Linked DNA regions of Arabidopsis thaliana. The protein of the gene in region 1 interacts with the protein of each later gene in a pairwise test. Each region holds a gene or a part of one and is shown in the gene's direction. Other genes may lie near its edges.

What was found. Proteins that work in one complex are often made in the same cells at the same time.
Region 2: the proteins of AT1G30440 (region 1) and PHOT1 interact in a two-hybrid assay, tested with the Arabidopsis thaliana proteins (one study listed by BioGRID).

Annotation. Positions count from the first base shown.
Region 1 is NC_003070.9:10,756,989-10,762,941, forward strand, and holds AT1G30440 (Phototropic-responsive NPH3 family protein), read left to right. Parts: upstream 1-1,754; 5' UTR 1,755-2,486; coding exon 2,487-2,545; intron 2,546-2,736; coding exon 2,737-2,806; intron 2,807-3,251; coding exon 3,252-4,493; intron 4,494-4,584; coding exon 4,585-5,211; 3' UTR 5,212-5,441; downstream 5,442-5,953. Other genes in the region: CCC1 (cation-chloride co-transporter 1), read left to right, coding at 5,917-5,953. UniProt on the Arabidopsis thaliana protein: May act as a substrate-specific adapter of an E3 ubiquitin-protein ligase complex (CUL3-RBX1-BTB) which mediates the ubiquitination and subsequent proteasomal degradation of target proteins.
Region 2 is NC_003074.8:16,814,739-16,822,750, forward strand, and holds the start of PHOT1 (phototropin 1), read left to right. Parts: upstream 1-1,982; 5' UTR 1,983-2,177; intron 2,178-3,608; exon of another isoform or gene 3,609-3,805; 5' UTR 3,806-3,818; coding exon 3,819-4,519; intron 4,520-5,058; coding exon 5,059-5,241; intron 5,242-5,514; coding exon 5,515-5,606; intron 5,607-5,701; coding exon 5,702-5,969; intron 5,970-6,064; coding exon 6,065-6,287; intron 6,288-6,384; coding exon 6,385-6,455; intron 6,456-6,543; coding exon 6,544-6,650; intron 6,651-6,733; coding exon 6,734-6,783; intron 6,784-6,906; coding exon 6,907-7,011; intron 7,012-7,094; coding exon 7,095-7,154; intron 7,155-7,250; coding exon 7,251-7,417; intron 7,418-7,510; coding exon 7,511-7,595; intron 7,596-7,681; coding exon 7,682-7,762; intron 7,763-7,866; coding exon 7,867-7,970; intron 7,971-8,012. UniProt on the Arabidopsis thaliana protein: Protein kinase that acts as a blue light (BL) photoreceptor in a signal-transduction pathway for photo-induced movements.

The DNA of each region.
Region 1 (5,953 bases):
ATTAAGCGACATCTATTCATGGTTTTGTTCGGACTTGTAAATTTATATTCTTTCTTTCTTTTTTTCACCTTTTTGTTTGTAAAAGCAGAATGTGAGGTAAACTTATCATGTAATTTACTTTTACATACACACTAGAGAGTGAACACGTAATGATTAGCTCAAGGTTTATGAGCATGGGAAAAAATACAATATTAGACACCCTCAAAATGAGATCTCGATTTCACTCTTCTGTCTAAGATAATTTAAACTTCCATAAAAAACTACTTGTCTTTAGTAGATACATATAAAAAGTAGTGGTATACGGTTTCTGTTTTTTTTTTTTTACAAAGAATTTGAAAAAAATGGAATTGACTTGTGGATGTGGGGGTGAGTGTAGATCGACAAAGGCAGAACATAAACGCATGTAAAAGGAAAGGTGCTTTTTGTGTGTGGACAAGGAGCATAAAAAATGTTTAAAAGAAAGAGCATTCCAATTTCAAGATTTCAAGAATCCTAAAGACATAAGGATAAGACACTCAGTCACTCACACTTAGCTTCGCCGTTTAGGTCCTTATCATTGTTCACCATTGCATGCGTATTTTTGTTTATTTTTCTTTTAATTGTTTTTGTTCATAGACATGTATATAGATTATTATCGACGTAATATAAGTGCATAGTTAGAAACCGCATTAAAACTTCAAAATGAAAACAGTTTAGTTTAAATCGCTAGAGTACAAATTAAAGGTTGAAATAATCCTTAATTATATGTTTATTGAAGTCGTTGGTTCAGTTTTTTTTTGTGGGAAGTTGAGAAGTACAAAAAAGTTAACCAAAGAGAAGTCAAAAGTTCACGTGGGCTAGCTGGTTACTACGTACGTCAGCCGAACTAAAAGACACTTCGTCGGACAACGAAGCTTCAACCACATGCTTAGATAAGTATAGTACTACGGACAAAATCACATTCCATCACCAAATAATAATAGAGGAATATTTTGCTATAAAATGTCTTTCGTGACTTCGCCAAGTGCGTTCGCATATTGTATCGGTTTGGATATTCAGAGATATATCTTTCTCTCTGTATACATATATAATCTTTTGTTCTTTTGTAAACGATATAGTATGTATGTAGAGCGTCATGATTAAATAGTGGTTAAAAAGTGGCAGAATGAAACTCCATAGATAATACAATTTGATTCCTAATTTTGATTAGCAAGAGGACTCCTCAACTATACATACCGTTATCACTTAAGACATGAATGCGCCAAACTATTTAAAGCCACCCATGATTTTACACCTACTATATACGCACTCCTTCGTGACTATGACAAGTCGGCGAGGTTATTCATGAAATATTGAAGTGATCCACGTTCTGAAAGTTATGTGTAACAAACGTACGTAGATGACTAGATGATATAGTTTGTATACGAGTTGAACACTATGTGTTAATGATTTACTACATAGGTGTTTACAACAGAACATATATCCATACGAAATTTTTTGAGATCGAAGGTCACGAAAATTATCATAAACACATAGTGTTCAACTCTAAGTATAAATGAATCAAAATCTAAGAATAAACTAGTAAATAAAATATTTTATTTAATTATCAGAATTCAAAATTTTGAGATAGGGAGTGAAACACTTAAGTATATATAACCGCAATCGCACGCCAAAAGTTAGTGGGAAAGATTGGATTCTTTGAGTAAAGATTAGGACAAAATTAAACCCCACATTTAAGAAATGAAATTGGAAAACAAAAGTGTATTTGCTAATATCAAGAATCAACACAATGAGTATGTTTGAAGATACAAATGACCCCACATGCGTGCATGTGTTCATCTTAAACAAAAGAAAAGACTCATTAATCTCTTAATCTCGAGATTTTCAAATCTCCATCATCTCTTTCCTTTTTCTATATCACTATCGATTAAATGAGTTTCTAAAGTAACCAATACTGAAATTATCCAATTAATAATTCACTTTCTAATTTCTTACAAGACCACAATTTTGCCTTTATTTAGTTTATAATATTTAATGTTTGGGGGTATATGGTCCCCTTCTTCCATGTATATTCTCTCGTATAAAGAAGCTGGTAACTTCTGCTTAGCTGTTCTTGTCTAGCTGTGCTCTTGGGGTTGGTTTCTTTTCTTCTTTTCATTATTTTTTGTTTGAATTTGGTGTTGGAGATAAGATTATTTGAGATTCTGGGTTTCTAGTGGTTTTGCTCAAGGGATCTGTTGTTGGGTTTAGGTTAATTTCTGGTGTTAGTTCTGTTACTGAATGTGGAGAAAGGAAGCAGCTTTAAGTGTTTGTTAGAATGTCTGAGTGAAATTGATCTGTTTTTATTATTATCTCGATCTGGGTTTTGAGGGATGAATCCAAAGTTTCTTTCTATCTGAGAAACTCTGTACATTAGGGTTTTGATTTTAGTTGGAGGGAGTTTTTTTTTAGGGTTTTGGAGGCTCAAATTTCCCTAGTTTCTTTGTTGAATTCTGGTGAGAGAAAGAATGGCTTGCATGAAGCTGGGATCCAAATCTGATGCTTTCCAGAGACAAGGCCAGGCTTGGTATATTCACTTGACCTCTCTCTGATTTTTATATTGTATTTTCGTTCCAAGTTTGTGCTTCTAATTGAGCAGACTTTGGTCTGGATTTGAGACCATGGTCTTTCTTTTAAGGCAAATAGCAGCATTACTGAGTTAAACAAAGCTCATTCCTTTGTCTGACTTTGTCTTCTTTGGTCTTTTGCTAATTGCAGGTTTTGCACAACTGGACTTCCTAGTGATATTGTCGTTGAAGTTGGGGAGATGTCTTTTCATCTCCACAAGGTACAATTTGTTAAAACACTCTCTTCTCGAAACACTGTGGGATATTATTGCATTTATCTGGACTAATTATTGGTCTTCTAGAATGTTATGTCCTTCGGCATTGTAAATATCTGTACTGCTAATGTATCAAAGTTGTGTTTGGTTTCTATTTTCCTTTTCATACATTGTGTTTTATCAGTCTTGTGGATAAAAAAAATCGTTACTGCTGTTCCTTGAAAATTTGGTTTTGAGCTCTTTATTTTCTTCTAATGACTAATCACCAGTGTCTTGCTTTTGGTTCCTACAAAACTCAATTCAGTATCTGTAGTTTTGGCAATGCCTTGCTTCTAATAATGAGAACTCTTGACTCTTGTTGTAGAAATCAGTCTCTACTAAGCCTTCTCTTTGAGAAAGAATGTTATTACTTGCAATCTCTCATACTTATTTTTAAAATGGCTATCTGCAGTTTCCCTTGCTCTCTAGAAGTGGAGTCATGGAAAGAAGGATTGCAGAAGCATCAAAAGAAGGCGATGATAAATGTCTCATTGAAATCTCTGATCTTCCTGGTGGAGACAAAACGTTTGAACTAGTCGCTAAGTTCTGCTATGGTGTGAAGCTTGAACTCACTGCTTCTAACGTTGTATATCTCAGATGCGCTGCTGAGCATCTCGAAATGACTGAAGAACATGGGGAAGGAAATCTTATTTCTCAAACTGAAACATTTTTCAATCAAGTAGTCCTCAAAAGCTGGAAAGATTCAATAAAAGCGCTTCATAGCTGCGATGAGGTCCTCGAGTATGCTGATGAATTGAACATTACCAAGAAATGCATTGAGTCACTAGCCATGAGAGCATCGACAGACCCAAACTTGTTTGGATGGCCAGTTGTGGAGCATGGTGGGCCCATGCAGAGTCCAGGTGGCAGTGTTTTATGGAATGGGATAAGCACCGGGGCTAGACCTAAACATACTAGTTCAGACTGGTGGTACGAGGATGCATCGATGCTAAGTTTTCCCCTTTTTAAGAGACTTATCACGGTGATGGAGTCCCGCGGCATTAGAGAAGACATCATCGCTGGCTCCCTAACCTATTACACACGAAAACACTTGCCTGGCTTAAAAAGACGACGTGGTGGACCTGAATCTAGTGGTCGTTTCAGCACACCTTTGGGCTCAGGGAATGTACTGTCCGAGGAAGAGCAGAAGAACTTGCTTGAAGAGATCCAGGAGCTTCTTCGTATGCAAAAAGGTTTAGTTCCAACCAAGTTTTTCGTTGACATGCTTCGAATCGCCAAGATTTTAAAAGCAAGTCCGGATTGCATAGCCAATTTGGAGAAGAGGATAGGGATGCAGCTTGACCAGGCTGCGTTGGAAGATCTTGTAATGCCTAGCTTTTCTCATACTATGGAGACCCTATACGATGTTGACTCTGTGCAAAGGATCTTGGACCATTTTCTTGGGACAGATCAGATTATGCCTGGTGGGGTTGGCTCTCCTTGTTCTTCAGTAGATGACGGGAATTTAATCGGATCCCCACAGTCAATAACACCAATGACAGCGGTTGCAAAGCTGATTGATGGGTATCTTGCTGAAGTTGCTCCTGATGTCAATCTTAAGCTTCCAAAGTTCCAAGCTTTAGCTGCTTCTATTCCTGAATACGCCAGACTCTTAGATGACGGACTCTATCGTGCAATAGACATTTATCTAAAGGTAACACTCAAAAGAACCCTATCAATCTCCTATGTAACAGGTTTCTTTTCACACAGACAGATTAAGTTTTCTCTCTTTTGATGATTCTCAGCATCATCCATGGTTGGCGGAAACAGAAAGAGAGAATCTGTGCCGGTTGTTAGATTGTCAGAAACTCTCTTTAGAAGCTTGTACACATGCGGCGCAGAACGAGAGATTACCGCTAAGAATAATCGTCCAAGTGCTCTTCTTTGAGCAGCTACAGCTCAGAACCTCTGTAGCTGGATGCTTCCTGGTCTCAGACAACCTCGATGGCGGATCAAGACAGTTAAGAAGCGGAGGATATGTAGGAGGACCAAACGAAGGAGGCGGAGGAGGAGGAGGATGGGCAACCGCGGTAAGAGAGAATCAAGTCCTGAAAGTTGGAATGGACAGTATGAGAATGCGAGTTTGTGAGTTAGAGAAAGAATGTTCCAACATGAGACAAGAGATTGAGAAACTCGGTAAGACGACAAAAGGTGGTGGTTCTGCAAGCAATGGAGTCGGTAGCAAGACTTGGGAAAACGTTTCTAAGAAACTCGGGTTCGGTTTTAAGCTGAAGTCGCATCAAATGTGCAGTGCTCAGGAAGGTTCTGTGTCTAAGTCTAACAACGAGAATGTGAAGATAGAGAAGCTAAAGGATGTTAAAGAGCGTCGTGGGAAGCATAAGAAAGCTTCGAGCATTAGTTCTGAGAGGTGAAAATGGTAAATTTCCACGGTTCAAATGTCCAGTTACTGTGTGTTTGGACATTGTTTAGCTAAAAAAAACAAAAGAGAGCTTCCATTGTTAAATGTGTGCATTGTAGGCTTGTAATCATGTTTCTTTTTTTCAATTGTTTATGTAACTTTGACTACCAACTATTTTGTCATTTTTATATTTTTATTTTAAACCTCTAAGAATATTGGAAAGATTCAAAAATTACTGATAACGAATATATTAATTAACTATGTAATAATCAATCTTCATGACCACAAGGATTATTAAGATAAGGTTTACTTTTTTTATACTATACTTATTGGGGAGTTTCAGATTTGATAAGTTTATGTCTAGCCTTTAATTAATGATTTAGAGTTAATCAAAAATAAAATCTGGAAGACTTTGAACTGACCAAAAAGACTCTCATGCTAAGTAATTGAAGGACATTTCAGCCGCCAGCTTGACCCAATTAAAAAGCCCATTTTAGTTTTTCTTCCCTTTGTTTTCTCTTATTTTAATTTTACCTCAGTTTATAATATTTTATTCTCTGAAATCTGAAAAATCATCTCTTCTGAAAATTTTGTTTTCCGTTAATTCGTCGAGTCTCTCGATCTCCGTTCTCATCAGATTTCAAACTCTCCGATCTCGGATTCCGACGAGATATTAGTCTCATTGTCGAAAGAGATCTGTTCCGATACGGCGTGAGAAATGGATAGCGGCGACATTGAAGAAGCCGGCGGGAATG
Region 2 (8,012 bases), on another chromosome or scaffold:
TTTTAGAATCAATGATATTTAAGGGAGAGAGAAAACAAAACAATTTGTGTTAATGTAAACATTCCTACTTGTACTATCAGTAGACCAACATCGTATATTTTACCAAAACAATATATATGACGATAGAAAAACAATGGTAATTAGAAAATATTAAATTTTCCTAATGTAGATATTCTTGCATATAGTAACTACTAACCAGTGTCATTATCCCATCTTGAATCTTGATTTGTCTAGGGGTTAATTTAGAAAATGGGAGAATTTAAGCGGCCAATATGTGAAGATTGATGTAAACTAACCAGTGTCATTGTCCCATCTTGAATCTTGATTTGTCTAGGGAAGAAAAAGGGGTCAATTTAGAAAATGGGAGAAGTTAAGCGGCCAATATGTGAAGATTGATGTAACATTTTCAGCCCCCACCACACACTCAAACCCACAATGGACACATGATGGATAAGATTATAACCCGTTAAGATCTTTTTTTCTCTTTGATCAATCTTCACATGGGTTCTGGTCCTACTTGTATATGAAATGTTACCATACTCTCCTCTTTGTATTATACCCTTCACAAATTTTGTCCATAGGGTTTCCGACAAAAGGGTTTGAATCTGAACTGTTCTGATATTTTTAACCAAGCCTGATAGTGATCGTGATCGCTTGGGATGACCAGTCTGTAGTGGCAGATCCATTTTTGTTACCGGGATCATAATATAACTTTTAAGAGAAAAAAATGTTACTGAATTTGAGTGTAGTGGGGTCATTATATTAATACCAAATTTTACAAATGATGATACTGTTTTTTTTTTTAACAATATTTACATGCAATTAAAAAATATTTAGTTATTCAATCTGAGACGTATCGGCGCTATGCCATTGCTAGTCTATATTTGTTACACCGTTAAACTAGTTACACATTGCTTTTTAGAATATGCAAATGATCAAATGCATGGTTGTTTAAGGTTGGATTTTTATTTTTTTATCCAAAGTTTAAGGTTGTATTTGTGCCCATGATTTGATAGCATACCAAATCGATTGGGTTAACAACTGCTATATATTCTTGCAATATATTTTGTTTATGCATCGTAATGTATAGGGAAGTTATCTGCTAATTAATAATTAGAGTGATTTTTGGAAAACAAAATAGAGACAGAATTAATAAAACCATTTTAAAGAGAGAAAGTTTTGACAAAAAAAAAGCGAGAGAAAGTTTTGATAAATCAACCAAAAATGCATATAACAATGACATGTGATTGCTTTTTAATTTGTTTGTGATTTCTGTACCGATCTCCATGTTCGATTTCATCACTAAATCGGATAAAAGTGTATGTTCTTCTTTAATGTTTTTGCATGAAATATCTTGCAATGCATAAAGACTGAGATTTCTACCATTACAAAAGTGGAAAGAGAACATCTATGTAATATTGGGTCTCTGCATTTGCATTTGGGAACGGTTTTGGCGTTTTCAAATGACAACTCACTCCCACTTATAGTCACTGACACACACAGAAACTTTTAAAAGAACAACCATCACTCCACACACTTATGTGTTCTTCAAATGTTTTATTTATCATTTACTTCAATTATACGCACAAGTTACAACAAGCAAGTTTTTTTGTGCAATATTCTCTTTTATAATCCTGTTTGTCCTATACCAAAACCTAGATTAATCACTGTCAAACCAACATCATAAAATTGTTGGTTAAGTCATATAAACCATTCGTTTCCAATAAGTGCCATAGAAATTGAATATTGAGCATAGTCAGAATATATATTTATGTTTGGTCTGGTTTTGTTTGACAAAGAGAGTATATTCAGGTTTATAATCTAATTATCAAGACAGAGTTATACAGAAGATAGATAAACGATACTAGTGTTACGTTTCTATACAATCTTTTGAAAGTAAACAAAAGAAGCCATGTGGAATCAAAAACATTCGAAGCATGGGAAGATCAAATAATCCAGTGATGGAGCTAGAACGGAACTAAATCAATCATGAAACCTAAATAGTTTTTTAATCTTTCTAGAATCTCTTCTTATCAAAAAATTTCCTTATTTGTATAAAAAGCCTCGGGAAAGTTAACTTCTCATCCCAAACTCATTCCTCAGTTTATCTCTCGACTAGAGAGTGAAGGAAAAATCGAAGGATAATCTGTTTCTTCCAGCACAAGTTAACTTGCAAGGTAGTTTTCTCCCTTCGATTTATACTGTCTTGCTCACTTTCTTAGGCTATTTTTAGGACGATTCATTTTTTTAATTTGTATGTTATTCATCTTTTTAGGGTTCTTGTCACATTTTCGGCCTTAATTTGTATGTGTAAAAATATAAATAGTGAAGTAGATATCATTTTATATCGTCTAGCACTCTAGCTACTAGCTTGATCTGAAACTAGTATATATATAAATTATTTGAATGTCAGCTTTTTTTTGTGAAAGTCACACATCACATGGTAGTTGCATATTTCAAGAACTCAACTGAATTCGATTTAAAATTTCTCCAATCATAATTCATAAAGATATGTATTTCAATTTTTTTAAATAAAAATAGATTTTCCTATTTACCATGAAATTTTTTACTCTTTTTATTTGTTCTCATATAAATAGAGTGATAAACTATTTTACAAAGTTCATTTATGTGGAAATTGATAAAATGACAAGAACATGAAAAAAAGACAAAGATTTTTAGTTGAAATCTGTGATCGATCGAACAGAATCGGTTCAGCTACTGTTTTTGTAATAGAACAACTGTCCATTTTTATACCAAAATGACTAAACCACCCTTAGAAGATGCATGTGTTGTGTGGTACTAAAAACTCAAAAAAGCATTGAAACTTTACACCTTTGTGTCGTTTTCTCAATTTTACCCCCGCTTCATTTGGAATTGTCACTCTCAAAATTGGCGTATTTTCCAGTTCATATCTTCATTCATCTATGGCCCCATAAACCATAACTCTTTGAACCATATTTAATAATGTTACCTGCATGCATATACATTCATATAAAACATGTATTCATTATCATGTTAGATATGTCTAGTCTATTATTTCCCAAAAGAAAGACACCTAAGAGAGCAAGATTCTTGTTATTCATGATAACATTTTTGAAGATTCAAAAAAAATGAGTGATTGATGAATTATTTATGGTCAGCATCTAGTAAAATCATATCGACATATCCAGTCAGCCTTAGTAGAAATGCACCAAAGTGATATAGAGTGGATTTCTCTCGATCCGTGTAGAAATGGACCACCACATTGTCTGTTTAGAATATTATATTTTTTTGTATAAAATTGTAGACATAATCTCTTATTAATAAATATTTAATGCAAGTTAGTTATTTTTAATTTTATGAAAAGAGGTTAACTCCAATATGTACCATACTACTTGAAGAAGTTAAATGACAAAAAAAAATATAAGTAATACTACCATTTCCATATATTGTACTGATATTTCAAACTTTAATCAACTTTCCTTTCTATTTCTCCTTCTTTTTTTATGGTCAAACCCATTCTGTTTATGACTAAACATATGACATATCTAACCGTTATTAATTAGTTCACATATCACATATTTGTATAGTGTTTTCATTTTCAGTAATCAAACCATCCATCTACCACAAAAGAACTTGGTCATGTGTCCATTTTTAGAAATCAATAAAATATTATACCATATATTTATAGTATCTAACTTTAAGAGAATAAATATTTTTATTTGCCGATTCATATACACACACATGCGTGTGGTATCTATGTCTATCCATTAAACTAATTATATATAAACTTATTTTCTGGCCACAATTTTTGTTTCGTGTATAGAGAGAGCTCAAAGATGGAACCAACAGAAAAACCATCGACCAAACCATCTTCTCGGACTCTACCTAGAGACACTCGTGGCTCTCTCGAAGTATTCAACCCGTCAACTCAGCTGACCCGACCCGATAACCCGGTGTTCCGTCCTGAACCACCAGCGTGGCAAAACTTGAGTGATCCACGTGGCACCAGTCCTCAACCCCGACCACAACAAGAACCAGCTCCATCCAACCCTGTTCGGTCTGATCAAGAAATCGCTGTCACGACCTCATGGATGGCTCTGAAAGACCCATCACCGGAGACAATCTCCAAGAAGACGATCACCGCCGAGAAACCACAGAAGTCGGCGGTGGCGGCTGAGCAGAGAGCGGCAGAGTGGGGATTGGTTTTGAAGACCGATACAAAGACGGGAAAGCCACAAGGAGTAGGCGTGAGGAACTCTGGTGGAACTGAGAATGATCCTAACGGGAAAAAGACTACATCGCAGAGAAACTCGCAAAACTCTTGCCGGAGCTCCGGTGAGATGTCGGACGGAGATGTTCCCGGCGGGAGGAGTGGGATTCCAAGAGTATCGGAAGATCTAAAAGATGCGTTGTCGACGTTTCAACAAACGTTTGTGGTCTCAGATGCTACAAAACCTGATTATCCGATTATGTATGCAAGTGCTGGTTTCTTCAATATGACTGGTTACACTTCCAAAGAAGTCGTCGGCAGAAACTGGTAAAAAGTTATTCAAAAAATTTTAGAGCATTTTTTTAATATATAAAATACGTTTCGTTTTCTGTAATAATTACCAAAATTGCAAAGTTTTTTCTAATTAAATATCATAGTTTTGTTTTTAGGTTTATGGTTACTATAAATGTATAAAGATATCTTAAATGACTTAGTAATTCTTTCTAAATTTTCAAAAATTAAACCTAACTTTATTTTATTTTTTTAGAACTTTTCGAAACTGTGTACCAAAATTACAAAGATTAAGTTTTAGGTATGGTTATCCTAAATGATTTAGTAACTCTTACTAAATTTCTAAAAACTTTTTATAAACCTAATTTTTATGTTGTTTTTCCAAACTAATAGCCTTTTATAAACTAAGTTTATTTTTTAATGATAACTTAAAATATTTCTTTTAAATCGAACATTTCTTTGCAAATTCGAAAAATTTCTTACAAAAGTTTCCACCATTTTTTGTTCAATGAATGAATTTTATTTACAAAAAGAAAGAAGAAAAGAACATAATTTGGGTTTTTGTTTTATTGTAGCCGATTTTTACAAGGATCAGGTACAGATGCAGATGAGTTAGCAAAGATAAGAGAGACATTAGCTGCTGGTAACAATTATTGTGGGCGTATATTGAATTACAAGAAAGATGGGACCTCTTTTTGGAATCTTCTCACGATTGCTCCCATTAAAGACGAGAGTGGCAAAGTCCTCAAATTTATCGGGTTAGTCCCTTATTCCTTTTTATTTACTCGTTTCTCTCCTTTATTTCTTTCATTCAAAATGTCACCCTTTTTAATGGGTCTAAGTGTGGACCTGTGATTTGTGTTGCTTTCTCCGCAATAATTCAAAGATTTGTATCACCGACGGATCCTATTGTAGAATAACAAAAGAGAATAATCAATCAGGAAAAAGAAAAGAATTATAGAATCTGATAAAAAAATATGATTTTGAGGAAAAATCAGAAGATACCAATATGTTTTGTTTATTTGGACCAGAATGCAAGTGGAGGTGAGCAAGCACACTGAAGGGGCCAAAGAAAAGGCTTTGAGGCCCAATGGGCTTCCGGAATCTCTGATTCGATACGATGGTATTTACATACTTTCTTTTTCTATTTGTTTTTCCAAATTTTTTTCCATTTATTATGTTTTCTTAAAAATATTTTCAAATTTTGTTTTGTAAAAGCCCGCCAAAAAGATATGGCGACAAACTCAGTGACAGAGCTAGTAGAGGCGGTGAAGAGACCTCGGGCACTAAGCGAATCGACGAATCTCCATCCCTTCATGACAAAATCGGAGAGCGATGAACTTCCGAAAAAACCAGCTCGGCGAATGTCCGAAAATGTTGTTCCGTCAGGCCGAAGAAACTCTGGCGGCGGAAGAAGAAACTCGATGCAGCGAATCAACGAAATTCCCGAGAAAAAATCTAGAAAATCTTCCCTTTCCTTCATGGGGTAATAATCCTTACTAGATCATTTGTTTACCTGACAATTACTTTATAAAAATCGATTTAGTCTTTGATATGATTGTTGTGATACTCTGGTGATAGGATCAAGAAGAAGAGCGAATCTTTGGATGAATCTATAGACGATGGATTTATAGAGTATGGAGAAGAAGACGATGAGATTAGTGATAGGGACGAGAGACCTGAGAGTGTGGATGATAAAGTGAGACAAAAGGAAATGAGAAAGGGTATTGATCTAGCTACTACACTCGAACGTATCGAGAAGAATTTCGTCATCACTGATCCTAGGCTTCCCGATAATCCCATTGTAAGAACAAATGTTTTAGAAAAATGGAAACTTTTTTTGTTATGTTTCATTTCGATTGGTCTGAAAACGTATTGTTTGCTTTGTCCTATGTTTCTAGATTTTTGCATCTGATAGTTTCTTGGAGCTCACGGAATATAGCCGTGAAGAAATTCTTGGAAGAAATTGCAGGTATTACATGAATGTGATCTCAAAATGTCTTTTGAAAATATTTTTGAGCATAGAGCATGTGTTTATAAATTTTGTTTCATGGTTTTAGGTTTCTACAAGGTCCAGAGACTGATCTAACCACAGTGAAGAAGATTCGAAATGCTATTGATAACCAAACCGAAGTGACAGTTCAGCTCATCAACTACACCAAGAGCGGTACTCGATTTTTTCGATATTCTTAGATTAATCTGTCGATCATTGTATAAAGTTTTAAATTTACATTATATTCTCTGTGGCAGGAAAGAAGTTCTGGAACATTTTCCACTTGCAACCTATGCGTGATCAGAAGGTATAATGGTTTACATAGATATCTTGCATTATACGGCACCTTCAAACTAATCCTCAATTTCTTTTGGTTTATGAATTTAAAACTGAAGATGTCTATATTCTTTCTTTGATATGTTGTTGACAGGGAGAAGTACAATACTTTATTGGAGTTCAACTAGACGGGAGCAAGCACGTAGAACCAGTTCGCAATGTCATTGAAGAAACCGCAGTGAAAGAGGGAGAAGACCTGGTCTGGAATCCTAAACTATTGATCTTGATTTAGTATTCGTTTGATAGAAAATCAAGTATTAAACCTTAATCTATATTCTTTAGGTGAAAAAAACAGCTGTGAATATCGATGAAGCGGTTCGAGAACTTCCTGATGCCAACATGGTAAGTGATTGTCTAAGGATCTGAATATGATCATTTTAGATTAAGGTTTATTAGAATATATCTGACAGAATGTTTTATTGTGTCTTGTTTCTGAAGACACCAGAGGATTTATGGGCAAACCACTCAAAGGTTGTTCATTGTAAGCCTCACAGGAAAGATTCACCACCATGGATAGCTATCCAAAAGGTGTTGGAAAGTGGTGAACCGATTGGTTTGAAGCATTTCAAACCGGTGAAACCTTTGGGTTCTGGTGACACAGGAAGGTCTGAAACTCTATCTAATCTAATGAAATAGCTTACAAAAAAAAAGAACATTTCCTTCATTAATCTTATAATATCCCATTTGTGTTTTATCAGTGTGCATCTAGTGGAACTCGTTGGAACAGATCAGTTGTTTGCAATGAAAGCAATGGACAAGGCTGTTATGCTTAACCGAAACAAAGTAATTACAGTAACTTGCACTTCAAGGAATCTTGAGTTTCGCTTTTTATTTGTAAGTTTTGTAGCCACTGATATAATTTTTTGCAGGTACATAGAGCTAGAGCTGAGAGAGAGATCCTAGATTTGCTTGACCATCCTTTTCTTCCTGCACTCTACGCTTCTTTTCAGGTCAAAACCTCTGTTTACACATATATATATATATATATATATATATATATATATGCGTGTCTCTTTGGTCTTTGGTTACTAATGGATCATGTTTTATTCTGCAGACAAAAACACATATATGTCTTATAACAGATTACTATCCAGGAGGAGAACTCTTCATGCTCCTAGATCGACAACCTAGGAAGGTTCTCAAAGAAGATGCTGTAAGGTACAAGTGTTCCTCGCTCGAAAAAGTCTCAAGATTTCTTCA